2 linked regions of the Saccharomyces cerevisiae S288C genome follow. The gene in region 1 interacts genetically with each later gene. Each region holds a gene or a part of one and is shown in the gene's direction. Other genes may lie near its edges.

Region 1 (3,413 bases):
AACTGTGTACTTGTAGTAATGCCAGCCAGCGGCACGGAACGTACATAAGAGGATATTTTTGTTCAATTGCTGCTGGGTTATTTCATTTTCGTGCGATTGGGAGGAGTTCTCGACATATTTGAAGCCTAATGCAAGCGGATGTCTTCTGCAATGATACATAATTTGCCAAAGAACATTACTCATGGGAATGGTAAACACCAGGAGCCAGAGGCAAAGAGATAAGACGGCAAGGATGGGTTGCAAGACGAGATGGAAGATTGTATAGAAAAGAACACGACCCCAGCTCCATTTTCCTCTCCCAAAGTACCGTCTTTGAGCCGCTGCGTGCGGAATTTCGTGTCTAATAGAATTATATGATGGATGGTTCGAGTTAAGCGGTGTTGCTGTTGTGTTAGCGGGCGGCATCAAAGACGAAGATTCCGTTGCAGGGGCCGGATGGTCCTCTCTTTGCTGAAACTTGGCCTGAGACTGGTGGAAGACCAGCCTGTTGGAGTATGAAGTCACCCAATTGTAGAATTGCTGCATACTAATACCTTCATCCTTATCTTCTTGTAAATATTGCTCGTCCTGCAACAAGTATACCATTTTGCCAAAAGGCCAAAGGAAATAATTGGCGAGTTTATACAGACACTTGGAGTACTCCTTCGCAGAGTTCGTTACCAGTCCTCCGCCGCCTAGTAAAAATACCACAATAGCCGCCGAGTAGAAGAGTATCGCAATGGGGAAACCGAACAAAATAAACCATAGCACATTGGAACAAGTCACCTCCCAGGTAATAGTCTTCAACTGAGTCTCGTGAATGTCTTGCGCCGCGGTTCTTTGAACTGAACGGTGTTTCTTATATAAAGCAGGCTTCCATATCCTGATACCGAAGGGGTGGGTCTCGTTGATGGCGTCCTGTCTTTCTCGTAAAGTGAATGACTCTGTGGACGAAGCATTAGACGCCTGGTCATTGTTTTCCAAGTGTGAAGGCGACTGGCAATTGATCTCGTCTATAAGTAAATCATGGCCGTGCGAGTCGTGTATAATGAACCGACTGTCATCATTGGCGTCCTCGTCATCATTGTCATCATGAGGTAATTCCCGGATAGATGAATGCATTCGTTTCGGAGAGCTGGGAGTAGCTGTATTTAAGTCTGGCACAGAGTGCGACTTGGAGGATAGCGACTCTAGTGTGGGCGGCAAGTGTTGTTGGTGCTCGTGGTGGTGCAGCGTGTTGTTGCTGCTATGTACGATTGGTGATTGCGAGCTTACAGATCGCTTGGATTTATTGGCATGCAGGGCGAACTTCAACCCTTCATGCAGACCCTCAAGATACCTGATATCGTTTTGGATCTCCTTTGGATCATCGTCCACGCTAAATATTCTATGAGGAGTCGAGGCAGATGTAGTTGGGGTCAGAACCTCCTCTTTAAGACGATGGTCTCCAGAGGTACTGTTACCACTGGCAGAAATGTGGTTATTTTTGGCCATTGCTGCTTACCGCTCTTCTAGCTAGCAGTTATTTCACTTTCATTTACAGCATCCCTCATGTTTATTATCTTCTTTATCTAATATAAATTAGGAACTAAATAATCCCCTCACCGTATAAAGCGACAGTTCCGTGACGGTTACTATTATGAATATCTCAACGGAAAGAGGGCATTAAAAGATCATAATAGTTGGTACTCTCGTATTTTATATATATATATCACTATATTTTAACACTTTTACTGCTCAATTGTGCCATATACTTCGCCTTATTGCGTACATTCTTCACCTTGTATCCCCCTACCTCAGCGTGTATGGTGATATCGCGTTTTTTCATAAACTGAGAATGGGGCTTTTTCTATAACGTGTATTATGAAAAAAAGAAAATAAAAATCAAGAATTAAGCACTTGTATATGCTACAGTAAAGACCTCTTCAACTTCTGCAAGACAATCAAAAAAAAAATGATGCGTCGCACGCTATTACATTCATTCGCTACGCTGCTACTTTCTTTGTCGTTGTGGTCAGCTGCGGTCATGGCAGCTGTGACAACTCAGGTTACAGTGGTAACAAATGTCGCAGGGGCCCTGGTTACGGAGACCACAATATGGGACCCTGCCACCGCTGCTGCTGCTGCTACAACTACCGCTCAAACAGGTTTCTTCACTACGGTATTCACTACCACTAACGATGTCGGAACCACCGTCACTCTTACTCAGACAGTCAACAGAGCCACTATGCTACCAACCACGACGACTTCTACCTCATCTACTGGTAAGACAACCACCACTGTTCCTACCGCAACTTCATCGTTGTCTTCGGGACTGTATTTATCTACAGTTACCACGACAAACGATTTGGGTACCACAGTTACATTGACTCAAACGTTCACACATTCTAGCACCAGTGCTACTTCATCCGCCTCCTCGTCTGTGTCCTCGTCTGTATCTTCGTCTGGTTCATCCTCCAGTGTAAAGACGACCACATCGACAGGGAGCGCAGTAGCTGAAACAGGCACCAGGCCAGACCCCTCCACAGACTTCACAGAACCTCCTGTGTCTGCTGTCACTAGTCTATCTATTGACTCATACATTACCATCACTGAAGGTACAACCTCCACTTACACAACCACACGTGCGCCAACGTCCATGTGGGTCACTGTTGTTAGACAGGGCAACACTATCACTGTGCAAACTACTTTTGTCCAGCGTTTCTCCTCCCAGTACGTAACAGTCGCTTCTCCCTCCGTGGGGTCTATTGGGATGGGTACTTTAACCGGTACTGTAGGCGTTATTAAATCTGCAATAAAGAAAACAGTTTCGCATAATGAGGCCCAGCATCTAGGTATGAGTTCGTTTACTTCAATTTTGGGTGGGCTATTAACGGTTTTAATTTGGTTCTTATAAATTTTTATTCAGAAATAAACACAAACATATACATATATAAGAGTAAAAATAAAAAAATAAAAAAATTTTACAGGGTTAAAAATAAAGAAAACCATCACTCCTTTTCTATTTCATATTCCATGACAAACTTGATGCATCAGCAATCTTTCTACCGCCGAAGAGCCAAAACGTTAATAATATCAATGCCATGGCAGCACAAATACAGCCTCCAATCAGGTAAACTATACCTAAAAATGGATTTCTACCGCCAAGGTGAGAACCGTGAGTCAAGTAGATTCCCTTCTTACCATTAAACTCCAATACTGGCCAATGCAGACCGATATCCAACTGGTATTCACCCGCTGGCAAAGTATCGTTTTTATTGATTCTGATCAGTTTTGTAATTTTATCAAAAGCACCTGGCCTCATCCAGTTTTGGAACTCTTCCCAATCCTGAATATCAGGAATATTCGTCTCGTTGTATCCATCTGGATACATCTTTTCCCAATATGGTGGAGGTGCTATCTGTGTATAATTGTATTTGGTTTTTTTGTACCTT
Region 2 (5,756 bases), on another chromosome or scaffold:
CATTGATTTCATCACCTAGTTGTAGCCTATCTAGTGGTTGTCTTGCACTTGGGCTTTCCTTGTTATCACTCCTCAAACAACATCCCGTTGAAAACCCTCTTCGATATGCGCCTCCATTATAAAAGAGTCCTTTTATTGAGACGTTCGCTTGTCTGAATAGGGAACGACAAGCATATTTTCTTGAACTATTCAACATTTTACTCTCGCTTCCCAAATTCCCCTTTCTATGGTGATATTATAAAAGATCCTGTAAGCTGCTGTTTTACGAAGGTATTGTAGACGATCCGTAGCCCTCTTTAGCAATTGTTTGACTACTATCGATGGGACTTCTCGAAATTCATACTTTGTTAGGTTTTCTTTTTTATCCCTAAAAAGAGCGAAAGGATCAAGCAGAAAATTAAAACAATAGGCTACATCATCGAAGTTTCAAAGACCGGCATATCCGTCCATTTTTGAAAACACCCCACCCAAAATTGTAACTATCGACAGATTCTATGATAGCTACCCCGGGATGAAGGGCAGTCTTCTATAACTTGGGGCGGCAAGCAAACCAACCGTCATAGTTAATAAACCACACGTTGGTTATTTAGATTTCTCGTCCTGCTTTTCTGTCGCCAATAGGGCAACCTTAGAAAAGGTTTGAGGATAGTGACTACATGCAATCAAGGTAAAAGCGTTATCGAATAAGTAACAAGCATTCCGTGCTAAATTGACGAGAATTGGCAAGATGCGTCAGCACTATTTGGAGCAAACACACCAACTGGATGTCTTAAAAGTCAATTCAACGACCAATTTATGTAACCAGCGTGACTAGGGCAACGAATTTACGTCTTTTTTCTAAACTGCATATGCTATGAAATTAAAGATATACTGCCTCTATAAAAACATTTATATTTTCCCTCCTTTGCAATGGAAATGAAAACGGCGGTAAAAAAATTCGTGAGAATAAAGAGACGAGTACAAAAGTTCAATTAAAAACGCCAGGAACTGTTCTTTATCTTATTCTCTCCGTACGCTGTGTCACAAAGCTCTTGTATTGTGTCTCGCTTTCTTTTTCCAGATCTATGAAACCAGAATCACACCGCAGCAGCGACGGCTGTACCGTATTTAAGAGAATCCGCATGGGAAAAGATTACAAATTACCCTAGACAAATTTATAGAAGCGGTGCTTGTGAGATTTACTCACATTCTAGGATTCGAGAACTAAGCATTGTAGTTCTTATTTACATCCTTGAACAAATACCTGCCTATCTCCGCACGTACTACGTAGCCACAAATGTATATATAATCGTGCGTTGTATTTGCGCCCTCACCCACATATTTGACATGTGCATGAGACTGGATATTTCTTGAAGCATATTCAATAGCGTCGATGGACAGTTAGCCCGCAGTTGTATTGCATTCAGCACCTGCATAGGTGACCCTCTTTGGCTGCCTATTTGGATAAAACGCGTTATTGGCGCTGGCGCAGACCTCGAAAAAAAAAATCAAAAATGAAAATAAGAGCATAAAAATAGAAATCAAAAATATTCTTTCCTGTGTTTCAGATTTACATTCAGTACCAACATTTCGACTTGTAGTAAATCCTGCTAGAAGAATCACATTGGTAGACGGTTATAAACGTTTACCGATTTGCAAAGTTCTCGAGTATTTTTGGTGTAGGTCCCATTTTCTTCAAAGGTCCTGTTTAGACTATCCGCAGGAAAGAAATTAGAATGACCGGCTTGAATGGAGATGATCCTGATGACTACTATCTGAACCTTAATCAAGATGAAGAGTCTCTACTTAGGTCAAGACACAGTGTCGGCTCAGGAGCACCTCATAGACAAGGCTCTTTAGTGCGGCCCGAAAGAAGCCGACTGAACAATCCTGATAATCCACATTTTTATTATGCGCAGAAAACGCAGGAGCAGATGAATCACCTGGATGTTTTACCATCAAGTACCGGTGTAAACCCAAATGCAACTCGTCGGAGTGGCTCCCTGCGCTCCAAAGGCTCAGTGAGAAGCAAATTTAGTGGCCGCGAAACGGATAGCTATCTTTTACAAGATATGAATACTACTGACAAGAAGGCTTCCGTTAAAATAAGTGATGAAGGTGTTGCGGAAGACGAATTTGATAAAGATGGTGATGTGGACAATTTCGAAGAAAGCTCCACGCAGCCCATAAATAAGTCTATCAAACCATTAAGAAAGGAAACGAATGATACATTGTCATTTTGGCAGATGTACTGTTATTTCATTACGTTTTGGGCACCTGCTCCAATTCTTGCTTTCTGCGGGATGCCAAAGAAGGAAAGACAAATGGCGTGGAGAGAAAAGGTTGCTTTAATTTCTGTCATCTTGTACATTGGTGCGATTGTGGCTTTCCTGACTTTTGGTTTCACTAAAACCGTTTGTAGTAGTTCGAAACTACGTTTGAAAAACAACGAAGTATCAACAGAATTTGTCGTAATTAACGGTAAGGCTTATGAATTGGATACTTCCTCGCGTTCCGGTATACAAGACGTTGAAGTAGATTCAGACACCCTTTATGGGCCCTGGTCAGATGCTGGTAAAGATGCTTCGTTCTTGTTTCAAAATGTGAATGGTAACTGTCATAACCTTATAACTCCAAAGAGTAATTCTTCCATTCCCCATGACGATGATAATAATTTAGCATGGTATTTTCCTTGTAAGTTAAAGAATCAAGATGGCTCTTCGAAGCCAAACTTCACAGTTGAAAATTACGCAGGATGGAACTGTCATACGTCTAAAGAAGATAGGGACGCATTTTACGGTTTAAAGTCGAAAGCTGATGTTTACTTCACTTGGGATGGTATAAAGAACTCTTCTAGAAACTTGATTGTTTATAATGGCGACGTTTTGGATTTAGATCTTCTTGATTGGTTGGAAAAGGATGACGTTGACTATCCCGTTGTATTCGATGACTTGAAGACTTCAAATTTACAAGGTTATGATCTTTCGTTGGTTTTGTCAAATGGGCATGAAAGAAAAATTGCGAGATGTTTGAGCGAAATTATTAAAGTTGGTGAAGTAGACTCCAAAACCGTCGGTTGTATTGCCTCTGATGTCGTTTTGTATGTTTCTCTGGTATTTATTCTTTCAGTGGTGATAATTAAATTCATAATTGCCTGCTACTTCCGTTGGACTGTAGCTAGGAAACAAGGTGCATATATCGTGGACAATAAAACAATGGATAAACACACAAACGATATCGAGGATTGGTCTAATAATATTCAAACAAAAGCTCCTCTAAAGGAAGTAGATCCTCATTTGAGGCCAAAGAAATACTCAAAAAAGTCGTTGGGACACAAGCGTGCTTCAACCTTTGACTTGCTGAAAAAACACAGCTCCAAAATGTTTCAATTTAACGAATCTGTGATAGATCTAGACACCTCCATGAGCAGTTCACTACAATCTTCTGGTTCATACAGAGGAATGACAACAATGACCACTCAAAATGCTTGGAAACTCTCGAATGAAAACAAAGCTGTACATTCCCGTAATCCATCTACTTTGTTGCCTACATCCTCGATGTTTTGGAATAAAGCGACTTCCTCTCCTGTACCAGGATCATCGCTGATTCAGAGTCTTGATTCGACGATTATACATCCCGATATCGTTCAACAACCACCACTGGATTTTATGCCATACGGGTTCCCATTGATTCATACTATCTGTTTTGTTACTTGTTATTCTGAGGATGAAGAGGGTTTAAGAACCACTTTAGACTCTCTTTCTACCACAGATTATCCAAATTCCCATAAACTACTGATGGTTGTTTGTGATGGTTTAATTAAGGGCTCGGGCAACGATAAGACTACTCCAGAGATAGCGTTAGGAATGATGGACGACTTTGTCACCCCACCTGATGAAGTTAAACCTTACTCCTATGTGGCAGTGGCATCAGGCTCTAAAAGACACAATATGGCCAAGATATATGCGGGTTTTTACAAATATGACGATTCTACAATTCCACCAGAAAATCAACAACGTGTCCCAATCATTACAATTGTGAAGTGCGGTACTCCTGCAGAGCAGGGGGCCGCCAAACCCGGTAACAGAGGTAAGCGTGATTCTCAAATTATTCTGATGTCCTTTTTAGAAAAAATAACATTTGATGAAAGAATGACTCAATTGGAATTTCAGCTTTTAAAAAATATTTGGCAGATTACGGGGCTAATGGCAGACTTCTACGAAACGGTACTTATGGTTGATGCTGATACTAAAGTCTTTCCCGATGCTTTAACTCATATGGTCGCTGAAATGGTTAAAGATCCTTTGATTATGGGTCTTTGTGGTGAGACCAAGATCGCTAATAAGGCACAATCTTGGGTAACTGCAATTCAAGTGTTTGAGTACTATATTTCGCATCATCAGGCTAAAGCTTTTGAATCTGTCTTCGGTTCGGTAACTTGTTTGCCGGGATGTTTCTCAATGTATCGTATAAAATCTCCTAAAGGTTCAGATGGTTATTGGGTACCTGTATTGGCAAATCCAGATATTGTTGAAAGATATTCGGATAATGTTACAAACACTTTGCATAAGAAGAACTTATTATTACTTGGTGAAGATAGATTTTTATCTTCATTAATGTTAAAGACTTTCCCTAAGAGAAAGCAAGTATTTGTTCCAAAAGCTGCTTGTAAAACTATTGCCCCTGATAAATTCAAAGTCTTACTTTCCCAGCGTCGAAGATGGATTAATTCTACGGTACATAACCTTTTTGAATTAGTTCTAATCAGAGACTTATGTGGCACTTTCTGTTTTTCCATGCAATTTGTGATTGGTATTGAATTGATTGGTACTATGGTACTGCCGTTAGCCATTTGCTTTACTATTTATGTCATTATTTTTGCCATTGTATCAAAACCTACACCCGTAATCACTTTAGTTTTACTGGCAATTATTCTTGGTCTGCCCGGCTTAATTGTTGTTATAACTGCTACGAGATGGTCGTACCTATGGTGGATGTGCGTATATATTTGTGCTTTGCCTATTTGGAATTTCGTACTACCTTCATATGCGTACTGGAAATTTGATGACTTCTCATGGGGTGATACGAGAACTATTGCGGGAGGTAATAAAAAGGCACAAGACGAGAATGAAGGTGAATTTGATCACTCAAAGATTAAAATGAGGACATGGAGGGAATTTGAAAGGGAAGATATTCTCAATCGGAAGGAGGAAAGTGACTCCTTCGTTGCATAGACAGTATGAAAATATTTTTACTGTGATACTTACAAGTTGATATATGGTTGTGTGTAACTTATTTATTTGAGAGGTATTTTAACACACCTTAGAACTAAAACTTAATAAATAAATATTTCTCTATCTTTAAAGGCACATATTACGTGGCTAAGGCAATTACAGCTGATATACTGTAAAACTCATGTCGCCACTAAATTCTTCTAACACGCGTTCTGTCTCTTTCCAAGGGACTCCGAATATGCCACTATTTATCTGTGGCATTTCCAATTTATATTCCCCTATTGGGTATTTGATGTGGCCGTTTAAATAGTCACCGATTGAATCTTCACTTGTTCGAGTTTTGTCTTTTGCTTCTCTAAAGGTCTTCAATTTATCTAAAGCAAGTTTTGTATAATTCAAAATACTTTGCTTTTCTCCATGACTTGAACCTCCAAATGATGATGTAAACAAGCAACAAATCAGCAGATCTGAGTTTTCGTAACTGGGAAGTAATATGCATTTGCCTAGTAAATTAGAACCATACTTTTCGCATACTTCAACGTA

Evidence for each region.
Region 2: of KRE1 (region 1) and CHS3, changing one enhances a phenotype caused by changing the other (phenotypic enhancement), as found in Saccharomyces cerevisiae (5 studies listed by BioGRID, with this or other methods).

What each region holds. Positions count from the first base shown.
Region 1 is NC_001146.8:32,756-36,168, reverse strand, and holds KRE1 (Kre1p), read left to right. Parts: upstream 1-1,933; coding exon 1,934-2,875; downstream 2,876-3,413. Other genes in the region: VNX1 (calcium/hydrogen antiporter), read right to left, coding at 1-1,473; LEM3 (Lem3p), read right to left, coding at 2,981-3,413. UniProt on the Saccharomyces cerevisiae protein: Involved in a late stage of cell wall 1,6-beta-glucan synthesis and assembly.
Region 2 is NC_001134.8:283,885-289,640, reverse strand, and holds CHS3 (chitin synthase CHS3), read left to right. Parts: upstream 1-1,715; coding exon 1,716-5,213; downstream 5,214-5,756. Other genes in the region: putative thioredoxin peroxidase SCO2, read right to left, coding at 1-196; POA1 (ADP-ribose 1''-phosphate phosphatase), read right to left, coding at 5,370-5,756. UniProt on the Saccharomyces cerevisiae protein: Polymerizes chitin, a structural polymer of the cell wall and septum, by transferring the sugar moiety of UDP-GlcNAc to the non-reducing end of the growing chitin polymer.